Linked DNA regions of Sus scrofa. The protein of the gene in region 3 binds, or shares a complex with, the protein of the main gene of each other region. Links are inferred from orthologs where the notes say so. Each region holds a gene or a part of one and is shown on either strand. Other genes may lie near its edges. The genes, in order: TTC25, EFCAB1 and CCDC151.

Region 1 (3,647 bases), on a different chromosome or scaffold from region 3:
AGTATGGCAGCCTTGCCAGCCTAGGCACGGTCCCTCCAGCTGGCCCCTGCCTTTGCCTTCTTCCCAGTTTCCACAGTGCCTGGAATGGGCTTGTCTTGTTTCTTTCCCACAGCGATCTTCCTGAAGCCAAGTCCAGAGCCCTGGATAACATTGGCAGGGTTTTTGCCAGAGTTGGGAAATTCCAGCAAGCCATTGACACGTGAGTGCCCAGGGACTGCCCCCTCCCCACTCTTGGGACGGGACAGCCCACCCTCACAGTGGACTCCCTGCCTGGGACAGAAGGCCAGGCAAAGAGGCATCAGAAGACCCGAATTTGGCCCCTGGCTTTGCTAGGTGACCATGGGCTGGCTGCTTTGTAAACTCCAGGGCTCATCAATTAAATTCATTAATAGAAGGTAATCAGCATTTTCTCCCAATTTCCCAATGACAAGAGTCATGTGGGGCACTCATTAGACGTACACGTTTCCTGGACCTCTTCCCTGGAAATTCTTATTCTGCAAGTCTGGGCTGGAGCTCAAGGAATCGGTTTTTAACAAGGACACCAAGTAGTCCTTACCTCTGGGCAAGTTCAGGAATGGGTGGCCTGTTGACTTCTGGAAGCTCTGCTGAGCTTTTCCCGTGACTATGCTGTCACGTGGGGTCACTGGGAATGGAGGCTGAGCTCCCCGGAAAGCTTAATCGCCCGACTTTGATGTTCATCCCTGGGGCTTGGCCACCTGCTCCAGTGGGAGACTCAGTCCCAGAAGGCTCGGGGGCGGGCCTGAGCCGGAGAACTGCCTGTGCCTAGAGAGCCAGCTCCTTGAGCTCACTGGCTTCGCACAGGGTGAAACTGTCCTCCAGACCCTCGCTGCTTGACTAAGATAGACTTGCTGGGAGTTCTTCTGTGGTGCGGCGGGATAAGGCTCTGGCATTGTCACTGCAGTGGCTTGGACCTCTGCTGAGGTGCAGGTTCAGTCCCTGGCCCAGGAATTTCCACATGCCACAGACACTCACAAAAATAAATAAATAAATAAATAAAGCAAGAGAACTTAAAAAAAAAAGATAGACTTGCTCACCAGAGCCTTCTGTTGCAGGTCACTTGTTTTCCTGAATGGTCCCTGGTGCCTTTGTGCCAAAAGGCAGTGGACTGTCCAAGTTCGCCTGCCATTCCTAGCTCTTTATAGTAAATATGCGCTTAATGGTAAAATATTAATTTGGGAGTGCCTGCTGTGGCACAGAGGGATCTGCAGCATCTCTGGAGTGCTAGGACACGGGTTCAATCCCCGGCCTGGCACAGTGGGTTAAGAATCGGGTGTTCAGAATTCCTGTTGTGGCACAGCAGAAATGAATCCAGCTAATATCCAATCCCTGGCCTTGCTCAGTGGTTTAAGGATCCAGGGTTGCCATGAGCTGTGGTATAGACTGCAGACACAGCTCAGATCCCACATTGCCGTGGCTGTGGTGTAGGCTGGCAGCTGTAGCTCTGATTGGACCCCTAGCCTGGGAACTTCCATATGCCACAGGTGCGGCCCTAAAAAGACCAAGATAAATGAATAAAATAAATACACAACGAAACGTAGTAGTCGGAGAATAGGCTTTTTTCTGACAGCATGGGAAGCTTGGCCTCCTCTGGCCAAGGGCAGAGCCTGAGTGGGAGAAGCTGAGCGCTTCTTCGTGTCTCCAGGTGGGAGGAAAAGATCCCTCTGGCCAGAACCACCCTGGAGAAGACGTGGCTGTTCCATGAGATCGGCCGCTGCTACTTGGAGCTGGACCAGGCCTGGCAGGCCCAGAATTACGGCGAGAAGTCCCAGCAGTGCGCCGAGGAAGAAGGGGACATCGAGTGGCAGCTGAATGCCAGTGTTCTGGTGGCACAGGCGCAAGGTATGGCCCCAGTGAGAACCATGCTACCTTTCCCAGCGCTCAGGCCCTGCTGTCACACCAGGGTCAGGAATGCTATGGGCTGAACTTATCATCCCAGTGTATCTGTGCCCAGATGAATGCGGATTCTGAGGGTGGGGATAAACCCCTGCGTTTTGACCGGTGTGTGGCACTCCCTACTTTAAGTTAAGCTCCCAGAGGGCTTGGGGGCCCAAGAGCTGCCCTGCCCCTTGAGGAACTCAGCTGCAGAGCAGCAGAGCACTGTCTTGTCATCAAAACAGCTCCACCCTCTTGCCTCGGTCGGTACTCTTTACAGGTGCATTCTTGCATTGATTTATTTGTTTCGGTCTTTTTAGGGGCTGCACCTGCGGCATATGGATGTTCCCAGGCCAGGGGTCTAATCGGAGCTACAGGTGCCAGCCTATGCCACAGCCACAGCAACACGGGATCCGAACCATGTCTGCAACCTACAGCAGAGTTCATGGCAATGCTAGATCCTTAACCCATAGGTCAAGGCCAGGGATCAAACCTGTGTTCTCATGGATACTAGATAGGTTCGTTACTGCTGAGCCCCAGTGGGAACTCTGCCTTCTTGCATTTAATCACTGTGCAAGCAGTGATGGAGGTATTGTCCTCATCTTATAGATAGGAAAACTGAGGCTCCAGGGGCTCGGCAGATTGCTCCAGGTCCCATGTGGGAACTTTTTAGGGTGATAGAAATATTCTAAAACTGGGTTGTGGTGATCTTTGCACAAGTCTATATATTTACAACAAATTATTAAACTGTATACTTACATATGGGTGAATTTTGTAGTATGTGAATTACATCTCAATAAAGTTGTTAAGGAGTTCCCATCATGGCGCAGTGGTTAACGAATCCTACCAGGAACCATGAGGTTGCGGGTTCGGTCCCTGGCCTTGCTCAGTGGATTAAGGATCCGGTGTTGCCGTGAGCTGTGGTGTAGGTCGCAGACGCGGCTCGGATCCCATCTTTTCTGTGGCTCTGGCGTTGGCCGGTGGCTACAGTTCTGATTAGACCCCTAGCCTGGGAACCTCCATATGCCGTGGGTGCGGCCCTAAAAAGACAAAAAAAGAAAATAAAAATAAAAGAATAAAAAAACTGGTAACTGTTTCCTGCCTTCATGTCTGGGAAGCAACTTTTAAGCAGCAGCTCCTGATGGGAGTTCCTGCTGCGGTGGAACAGGATCGTCGGCATCTCCGGAGCACTGGGACAAAGGTTTGATCCCTGGTCTGGCACAGTTGATTAAGGATCCTGCGCTGGGAGTTCCCATCATGGTTCATCGGTAACGAACTGGACTAGTATCCAGGATCCTGCTTTGCTGCACCTGCAATATAGGTCGAAGCCAGGGCTCAGATCTGATCCCTGGCCAGGGAACTCCGTAGGGCACGGGACGGCCAAAAAAGAGCAACAAAAAAATTCCCTGGTGGCTCATGGCCCAGCAGATTAAGGATCTGATGTCACTGCAGCAGCTCAGAATGCTGCTATGGCGAGGGTTCAGTCCCTGGCCCAGCAACTTATGCATGCCACAATTGCGGCCTAAAAAGAAGCTGACGGAGACGGGAACTCTGAAGGGAGGGGGCCAGTGAGGGGCCAGATCCACAGGGCCTCACGGGCCTCGTTACACACCATAGATTCTTCTTCTTTTTTTTTTTGTCTTTTTGCCATTTCTTGGGCCACTCTCGCGGCATATGCCACAGCAACATGGGATCCGAGCCGCGTCTGCAACCTACACCACAGCTCATGGCAACGCCAGATCCTTAACCCACTG
Region 2 (4,138 bases), on a different chromosome or scaffold from region 3:
TGGAGGCTGTCAGTGGAGTCTGGAGAAAACCCCTGGCGATTTTTAAGCTGGTTAAAGAGGCACCCTCCCAAACGAAGGCAAGCTGATAACTGACACTAGCTTTGGGATACAGCCTGACCTTGCTTTCCTGGAAAATATCCCGGTAAAACGGATCCTTTAGTTATTTGAAAGACAGTTTCTGTGACTGCAAACAAAGGGTAGTCTTCACATCTTTAAGAGGACCTTCTGTTCTGAACACAGATGAGACACCCACCCTCTTTGAATTAGAACCGCAAAAACATGGGTTAGCTTCGTCTTGAGCACAAAACCTAGAATATTCTGCAACGTGTCACTTGTTGAGCCTCGGAAATGAGATACAAATTGTTATTTGTCTTTTATAAAATAATGCAAGTTATTTTATAGTACATGTACTGTCATTGTTAAACTGAAAGTAGAAAAATTCTGCCAACCGTTAACACCCAACTGAGGTTTTTGACTTTCTTTCCATGTTCCATTTGTTTGTTGAATGGAGGGTTGGGATGCTGTTTGAAATCAAGGTGAGGATGCTTGGTGAAGGCAGGACCTGTATGATCCTAAAGCAAATTCCCTGAGAACAGTTAACTGATATGAAATGATAGTGATGGGATTGTAGGGAACAAATGGGGGAGGGATCAACCTCATACACTCACCCCAAAACCTGGGTGACTCCTGTCAGATGACAGAGCCGAGGCAAACCTTTAGTGAACCGCTGTAGGGCTCCTTCTAAACACAAGCAACTTGAAGATTAGTGGTCACTGGTCAATAAGAGAAGCTGTGAGCCCCTCCTCTCCTACCAGGTGCGCCAAAGGGACACCACAGGTGGGAGTCCCTCATGGGCAGGTGCCTCGGCAGACAAACACTGCGAGGTCCTTGTGCACCAGGGCCAGCAGCTCTGGCTCTGTTCTTCCTTCACAAGCTTCAGGCCTACCCCCCCTCCCCCAGCCCCATTCCCTTAAAGTGGAAAAGCCGAGGAAGGGCTGGTAGAAGTCAAATCTACCAGCAAAAGTCCCGAGCCTACTGAGAAGCCTTGGTGGGCTCCCCCACCAACCATGTCTTTCCTCCATATTGTCCTTTTAGCCAAATCTTCACAAAGGTGTGGTGGCATCTGTCACTTCTCTGAGCATGGGCTGAGCTCTGGCCTCACTGCAGGTCTGGCAAACCTTTCTCAGGGAGGCAGGTATTTATTAGGGGTGGGTTTTGTCAACATACCGGCAAACTTCAGAGCGTTCACTGCATTCTTGGGACGTTTTCAGGTTTGTATATTCAGACTTTAGAATGAGCCGTGGGCCTGCAGGAGTGTGCTGAGCGTACCTCAAGGCCTGTTGTAATTTCTGTTTGTAGGTTTTGTGGCCTGTGCAGAGTAGACGCAGGTTTTTGTCCCAAGGGCTTTTCTGAGTGAGGCAACTAAGCCTGAACAGTTAGCTCAGATCAAATCAGTCAGCAATTGAATAATCAAAAACTGCTTAATCTGGGCCCTGCTGGAAACACAGAACTTCTCAAAGTTCACGCAGCCCCGAGGGGGTTACTTTTGTGAGTACAAAGTGCATGAAAGTGACTGTGAGAGCTGTCAATGCTAAATTCTGTGTGCAGAGCAGTTTTCTCTTGGGCTCCCAATTCACTGGACTTTCACCATGATAAACAGCTGGGATTCTCAAGGTGAAGAAACTGTTTCACTTAGTGTGGACATTTTATGAGGGAGGCCCTTGGAAGCTGTGTAGGAAATGACATCATAGAGTTGGTTTCCAAGTAACTTACAGATCTATTATGAAAGGACTTTAATAAGAGGAAAAGATAAAGCTTAGTTATCTGCATAAATTACTTTGAGTTGGACCAGTGCTATCCTGTAGGGATAGTGGTGAGCATTCTGGGGTGACTTTAGCCAGCCTGGTCTCTCACCACTTTCTCTCCCCTGATGCTCCTCAGCCCCTCCAGCAGCACTGGGCTGCCCCCCTGCCTGCCCCCCAGGGCCTCTGTCTGCCCTTCACCCCATCCCCACAGGCAGGTCTGTGGAGAGTTTCTAGCTCCATTAGTCAGTCCCTCCTTTTCTCACTCTCACCTGGGGACCAGCTGACCCTCCTGGCTTCACAGAGCTGACCACTGTAGCCAAAGGACACTGCCAGGATCTTCCCACTGCCTGTTCGGTCATGGCCCCGAGCCTGGCTCTGGCTGCTGTGCTGTCCATAGAACTGCCCAAGGGACAAGGCACCCACCCCTTTCTGAGGGGGCCAGAGGGAGAGACAACCGCCTGGCAGTGATCCTGATCCTCTGTGTGGTCACAGGTTTATCCTCAGGCCAGCCTGGTTCTTCCTGGACATCAAAGGCTGCCTGGACCAGGCCCTTCCACCCACACTCCCCATTCCATCGTCTTGGAGTTGCCTCCTCCCTCCACACATTCCTGCTTCCCCACCCCCCCTCCTTTCCTGAGCCCCAGTCTCTCCAACCCCATCAGCTGTGCAACAGCCCCTTTTACCTGTGAACATTTGCTGAACTTGCCTTCTGTGTACAGAGCTTCTCTCCATCTTTCTTCTTGGAAGCCTGCATCCTCCTGAAGATGCTCTCCAGAGGAGGCTGCCCATCTCCTCATTCCTGCTCAGGCACAGCCAGAAGGAAGTCACTGTCATCATGACCCCATGTCTCCTTTTCAGGACCCCATCGGCTCTGCCCTTTCCTCTCACCCACCTTCTCAGGGTGTAGGTAATGCACACGCTCACTGCCACACAGTCCATGCTCTGCTCCTGCATCCGCCGGGAAGCTGCTCATGGGATTTCAGTGTGATGTAGCTAAAACACTGGTCAGTCATGTCGTCCTTCTGCTTAATGTTGAAATGCCTTCTCAGTGCCTGCGAGAAAAACTCCAAGCCAGGAAGCGTGGTTTCCATGGTTCTCAAAGATTTGCCCCTGCCTGGCTTGCATTTCATTTCATATGAGTTTTAGAATAAGCTTGTCAGTTTGTCCTCAAAAAAGGTCGTGCTGAGGTGTTGATTGGGGTTGCATCATATCTATGTAGCAATTTGGGGAGAACCGATGTCTTCATGGTATTGATTTTTTCTGATCCATGAACATGGTATATCTCTCCATTTCTTTAGGTCTTTGTTAGTTTTTCTCAGCATTGCTTTGAGGTTTTAAGTGTACATAGCTGAGCATCAATTTTTACATAAGTTTTTTTTTTTTTTTTTTTTTTTTTTTTTTTTTTTTTTTTTTTTTTTTTGCCATACTCTCAGTGTGTGTAAGTTCCTGGGCCAGGGATAGGACCAGAGCCACAGGAGTTACAACACTGGATCCTTAATCTGCTGATCCATGAGGGAACTTACTTATAAGTTTGGGTTTTTTTTGTTTTGTTTTGTTTTGTTTTTTAGGGCTGCGAGTGTGGCTTATGGAAGGCCCTAGGCTAGGGGTTGAATCAGAGCTATACCTGTGCCACAGTCACAGCAGTGTGGGACCCAAGCCATGTCTGCAACCTGTACCACAGCTCACGGCAACGCCAGATCCCCGACCCACTGAGCGAGGTCAGGGATTGAACCTTCATCTTCATGGATACTAGTTGGATTTGTTTCTGATGCGCCACAACGGGAACTCCCACTTATAAGTATTTTTGATGCTAATATAAAAGCAATATTTAATATGTGATAGTACATAAAATGTAATTGATATTTGCATGTTGCTTTTGTATGCTGGGACCATACTAAACTCATATACTACTTCTATTAGATTTTTTTATAATTATTTAAGATTTTCTATAGCAATGATAATGTTCTTTACAAATAAAGACATTTTTACTTATTTTCCAATCTTCCTTTAATGGTGAAATATTGGGCACTTTCTCTCCAACACGGGGAATGAAGAAAGGGTTCCCGCTTTTGCATTACATGTTCAGCATGATGTTGAAGAGAAGTGTAAGAGCGGAAACCCTTGCTTTGTTTCCTGCACTGGAGGGAATGCACCCAGTAGTTCACCATCATGTGTGGTGTCAGCTGTGCATTTCTCACAGATGCCCTGTGTCAGCTGAGGGAGTTGTGTCTGTCCCACATTTCCTGTTGTGTTTGTCACGCGTGGTTGTTGCGTTTTTACTATTCACCCAGCCCTCCCCCTACTGGTCGTGGCACAGGCATCTCTCTGGTAGA
Region 3 (3,351 bases):
CTAGCCTGGGAACTTCCATATGCCACAGGAGCGGCCCTAGAAATGGCAAAAAGACAAAAAAAAAACAAAAACAAAAAAAAAAAAAACCAGAGAATTGCTAACAAATGGGGTGTAGGTGGGAGAGGAAAAGAGATGAAGATGACATCAAGGTTTTGGACTTGAGCACCTGAAAGATTCAAGAAGGACAGCTCTGGGGAAAGATCAAGGACATACTCAATTTTGGACATAATGGTTTTGAGCTGCTTGTGGAGCATCTGGAAGGCAGTGTAGACACAGATATATCAGCCTGCAGTTTGGGGGGAGGCTAAATTTGTGTGAGGGGGTTTCTTTTCTTTTTATGGCCACACCTGCGACATATGGAAGTTCCCAGGCTAGGGGTTGAATCAGAGCTTTAGCTGCCAGCCTGCACCACAGCCACAGCAAAGCTGGATCTGAGCCACATCTGTGACCCACACCACAGGTTGCTGCAACACCGGATCCTTAACCCACTGAGTAAGTCCAGGGATTGAACCTGCATCCTCATGGATACTAGTCAGGTTCTTAACCCGCCGAGCCACAATGGGAACTCTGGGGAGGCTAAATTTGGCTGTCTTCAGTGTATAGGTGAGTTTTGAAACCCTGAGACTGGATAGGATCTCCAAGGAGGTGGGTGTGGACAGAGGAGAGACGAGCTTGGGGCTGTCTCTTCAAAGGCAAAGGAAGTGGATAAGAGGCAGCCAAGGAGGTGGGTGGAAAAATGGGTGGTGTGTGTCCTGGAAGCCACCAAAAGAGAGAATCTGCCAGAGAAGGAGGATCAGTCAGGTCAGGTGCTACTAAGAGACAGGGAAGATAAAAACCTAGATATAGGAGAAGGAAGGGAGGAAGGACTAGGTGGGGGGCTCACCCTGCTCTTGCTCCCCTCCCTCCAGCAGGCCCTGGAGCACCTGGACCACCAGCTGAGTGAGAAGGTGAAGCAGCTGAATGCTCTTCGGCACCAGCTGGGCTTGCGGCAGAAGTGGCTGGAGGAGCTCCAGCTGCAGCACAGTCTGCGTGAGCTGGAGATGGCAGAGGCACAAGATAGGAACACGGAGGTGGCCAAGGTAGCACCTGTGAGGTCTGCAGAGAGCTTGATTCCCTGGGGGAGGGATTGAGGTGGGAGGGGACCCAGCCCAGCCTTGCTTCCCTCTAGACCATGCGGAACCTGGAGAACCGCCTGGAGAAGGCCCTGATGAAGGCCGAAGAGGCAGAACACATCACCAATGTGTACCTGCAGCTCAAGGCCTATCTACAGGTAGGGACCAGGAAAGACTGGGGTTGGGGGCGGCAAGTGGGAGGGCCATCCTGGTTAGGGATAGTGGTCATGGGCCTCCCTTGTTCCCTGCATCCCAGGAGGAGAGCCTTCACTTGGAGAACCGGCTGGACTTCATGGAAGCTGAGGTGGTGAGAACGAAACATGAGCTGGAGGAACTGAACGTGGTGAATCAGGAAGCACTCAATGCCAGGGACATAGCCAAGGTGCCAGCCTGTGGGCCCCTGGGGGTCCTGCCCCTCCGCTGCCACGGTCATCTGGCCCTAGTATCTGAACTCCAGCTGTCCCCGAACTCATCCCATCTCTCTCCCAGAATCCCATAGCCTAACCCAACTGTCTCGGGTTAGGCCTGCAGCTCCCGCCCAGAGCCATGGTAGGTGCCAGCTGGTCCTGCTGTTTCCCTGCCTGCCCTCCAGAACCAGCTGCAGGATCTAGAAGAGACAGTATTACGAGAGCGCAAGAAGCGGGACCGATACCTGACCGAGTGCAAGAAGCGCGCTGAAGAGAGAAAACTCCAGAATGAACGCATGGAGCGAAAGGTGGGCGCACCAAGGATGCAGGGCTGCAACCCTAGCCAGCCCTTACTTTGACCCGGCCCTGCGGGGTCCCGGCCGCGCCCCTACGTTGGCCCTAGACCCTTCCCCAGTTCTGACCCTTCTTCTGACTCCGCCCCCATCTCCACCAGAAGTCAGGGCTCCTCCCACATCCATGACCCCGCCCTTCAGTCCTCCAAGTACTTTCGGGTTGGTCCTCATCCATCCCTACCGCAATTGGCCAGAGTCCGAAATTTGATCCTGCCTCTAGCCTGCCCCTTATTTACAGGCCCCACCCCCTGCTCCCTTGACCCCGCCCCTCTGCCCTGCCTCGGAGTCTCCTAGCCCTGACCTAGACTGTCAGGCATCTGACCCCTGTTTTGATGCCCTTACTTGGCCCCAAGCCTGGGTCCCACCCCCTTCCTCACCCCCGACTGAATACCCCCCTTCCCGCCTACCCCCGCCGCGGCTTCTGTCAGGTGCCTTTGTCCGTAAGCTGACCTGGGCCCTGACCTCAACTCCCGAGCAGACCCAGCGCGAGGACGTGCTGCTGCACTCCGACGACACGCTCCAGGACAGCCAGCGCTCCAAGGAGGAGGAGCTGCGGCGGCGCTGGAGCATGTACCAGATGGAAGTGCTCTTCGGCAAGGTCAAGGACGCCACCGGCGTGGCAGAAACACACGTGAGTGCTGCCTGCGGCCTCTCCCAAGCCGACCTGAGCCTGGAAAGCCAACCCTTTCTGCAGGGGCAATTTCTCAGCACACAAACCTGCTCTCTTCTTAAAAAAACACCCCTTCCTGCTCCAGCTACTGCCCGGTTTCTCTGCTGCTTCTCACAGCAAAAGCCACGCGTGTGGAGTTATCTACACTGGCCATCATCCTCTCCTCCTGTTCCTGCTTACACCAGCTGACCTCTGTGGCATGTCAGCTCTAGGAGAACTGGGAGTGTTGTCTCTCTTCTCCTGGGTCCCCAGCACCTATAACAGGGTCTGGGGCACAGACGACTGCACAGTGCCAGCCTCAGTCCCAGATCAGCTAGGTCCCTGGTCTGGGGTCCCCTACTTGGAATTTTCTTCCTCAAAATTTTCTCTTTTTTCTTTCTTTTTTCTTTTTTGTTTTTGCTTTTGCTTTTGCTTTTTAGGGCTACACTCGCAGCATATGGAAATTCCCAGGCCAGGAGTTGAATCGGAGCTATAGCTGCCAATCTATACCACAGCCATAGCAACACAGGATCTGAGACATGTCTACACCACAGCTCACAGCTACACTGGATCCTTAACCCACTGAGAAAGGCCATGGATTCCTTGAAATTTTCTAAGACCATAGGTCCCTGGCTGGAAAACACTGTGATTCCCCTGGACCTCTGTTGGGTTTCTCCACTTTGGGCACCCTCGAATCTATTACTCCTCCCATGGGCTGACTCACAAGGGGTTCCAGAACTTGGACCTATGGGGTCATCTGGAGCACTGTAGTTGAGCACCTTTCCAGAAGTTGGCCTAATGGGCAGATCTCTCTCACAACCCCTTCCTGG

Evidence for each region.
Region 1: CCDC151 (region 3) and TTC25 share a complex: the UniProt entries of both Homo sapiens proteins name them as parts of the outer dynein arm-docking complex. The link is inferred for Sus scrofa from reciprocal best matches to the Homo sapiens genes ODAD3 and ODAD4.
Region 2: CCDC151 (region 3) and EFCAB1 share a complex: the UniProt entries of both Homo sapiens proteins name them as parts of the outer dynein arm-docking complex. The link is inferred for Sus scrofa from reciprocal best matches to the Homo sapiens genes ODAD3 and CLXN.

The regions. Positions count from the first base shown.
Region 1 is NC_010454.4:20,774,399-20,778,045, reverse strand, and holds part of TTC25 (tetratricopeptide repeat protein 25), read left to right. Parts: intron 1-112; coding exon 113-199; intron 200-1,663; coding exon 1,664-1,860; intron 1,861-3,647. UniProt on the Homo sapiens protein: Component of the outer dynein arm-docking complex (ODA-DC) that mediates outer dynein arms (ODA) binding onto the doublet microtubule. Plays an essential role for the assembly of ODA-DC and for the docking of ODA in ciliary axoneme.
Region 2 is NC_010446.5:79,374,290-79,378,427, reverse strand, and holds the start of EFCAB1 (EF-hand calcium-binding domain-containing protein 1), read right to left. Parts: upstream 2,935-4,138; 5' UTR 2,760-2,934; coding exon 2,489-2,759; intron 1,729-2,488; exon of another isoform or gene 1-1,728. UniProt on the Homo sapiens protein: Component of the outer dynein arm-docking complex (ODA-DC) that mediates outer dynein arms (ODA) binding onto the doublet microtubule. Seems to regulate the assembly of both ODAs and their axonemal docking complex onto ciliary microtubules.
Region 3 is NC_010444.4:70,090,710-70,094,060, reverse strand, and holds part of CCDC151 (coiled-coil domain-containing protein 151), read left to right. Parts: intron 1-908; coding exon 909-1,079; intron 1,080-1,168; coding exon 1,169-1,270; intron 1,271-1,368; coding exon 1,369-1,494; intron 1,495-1,704; coding exon 1,705-1,827; intron 1,828-2,350; coding exon 2,351-2,503; intron 2,504-3,351. UniProt on the Homo sapiens protein: Component of the outer dynein arm-docking complex (ODA-DC) that mediates outer dynein arms (ODA) binding onto the doublet microtubule. Involved in mediating assembly of both ODAs and their axonemal docking complex onto ciliary microtubules.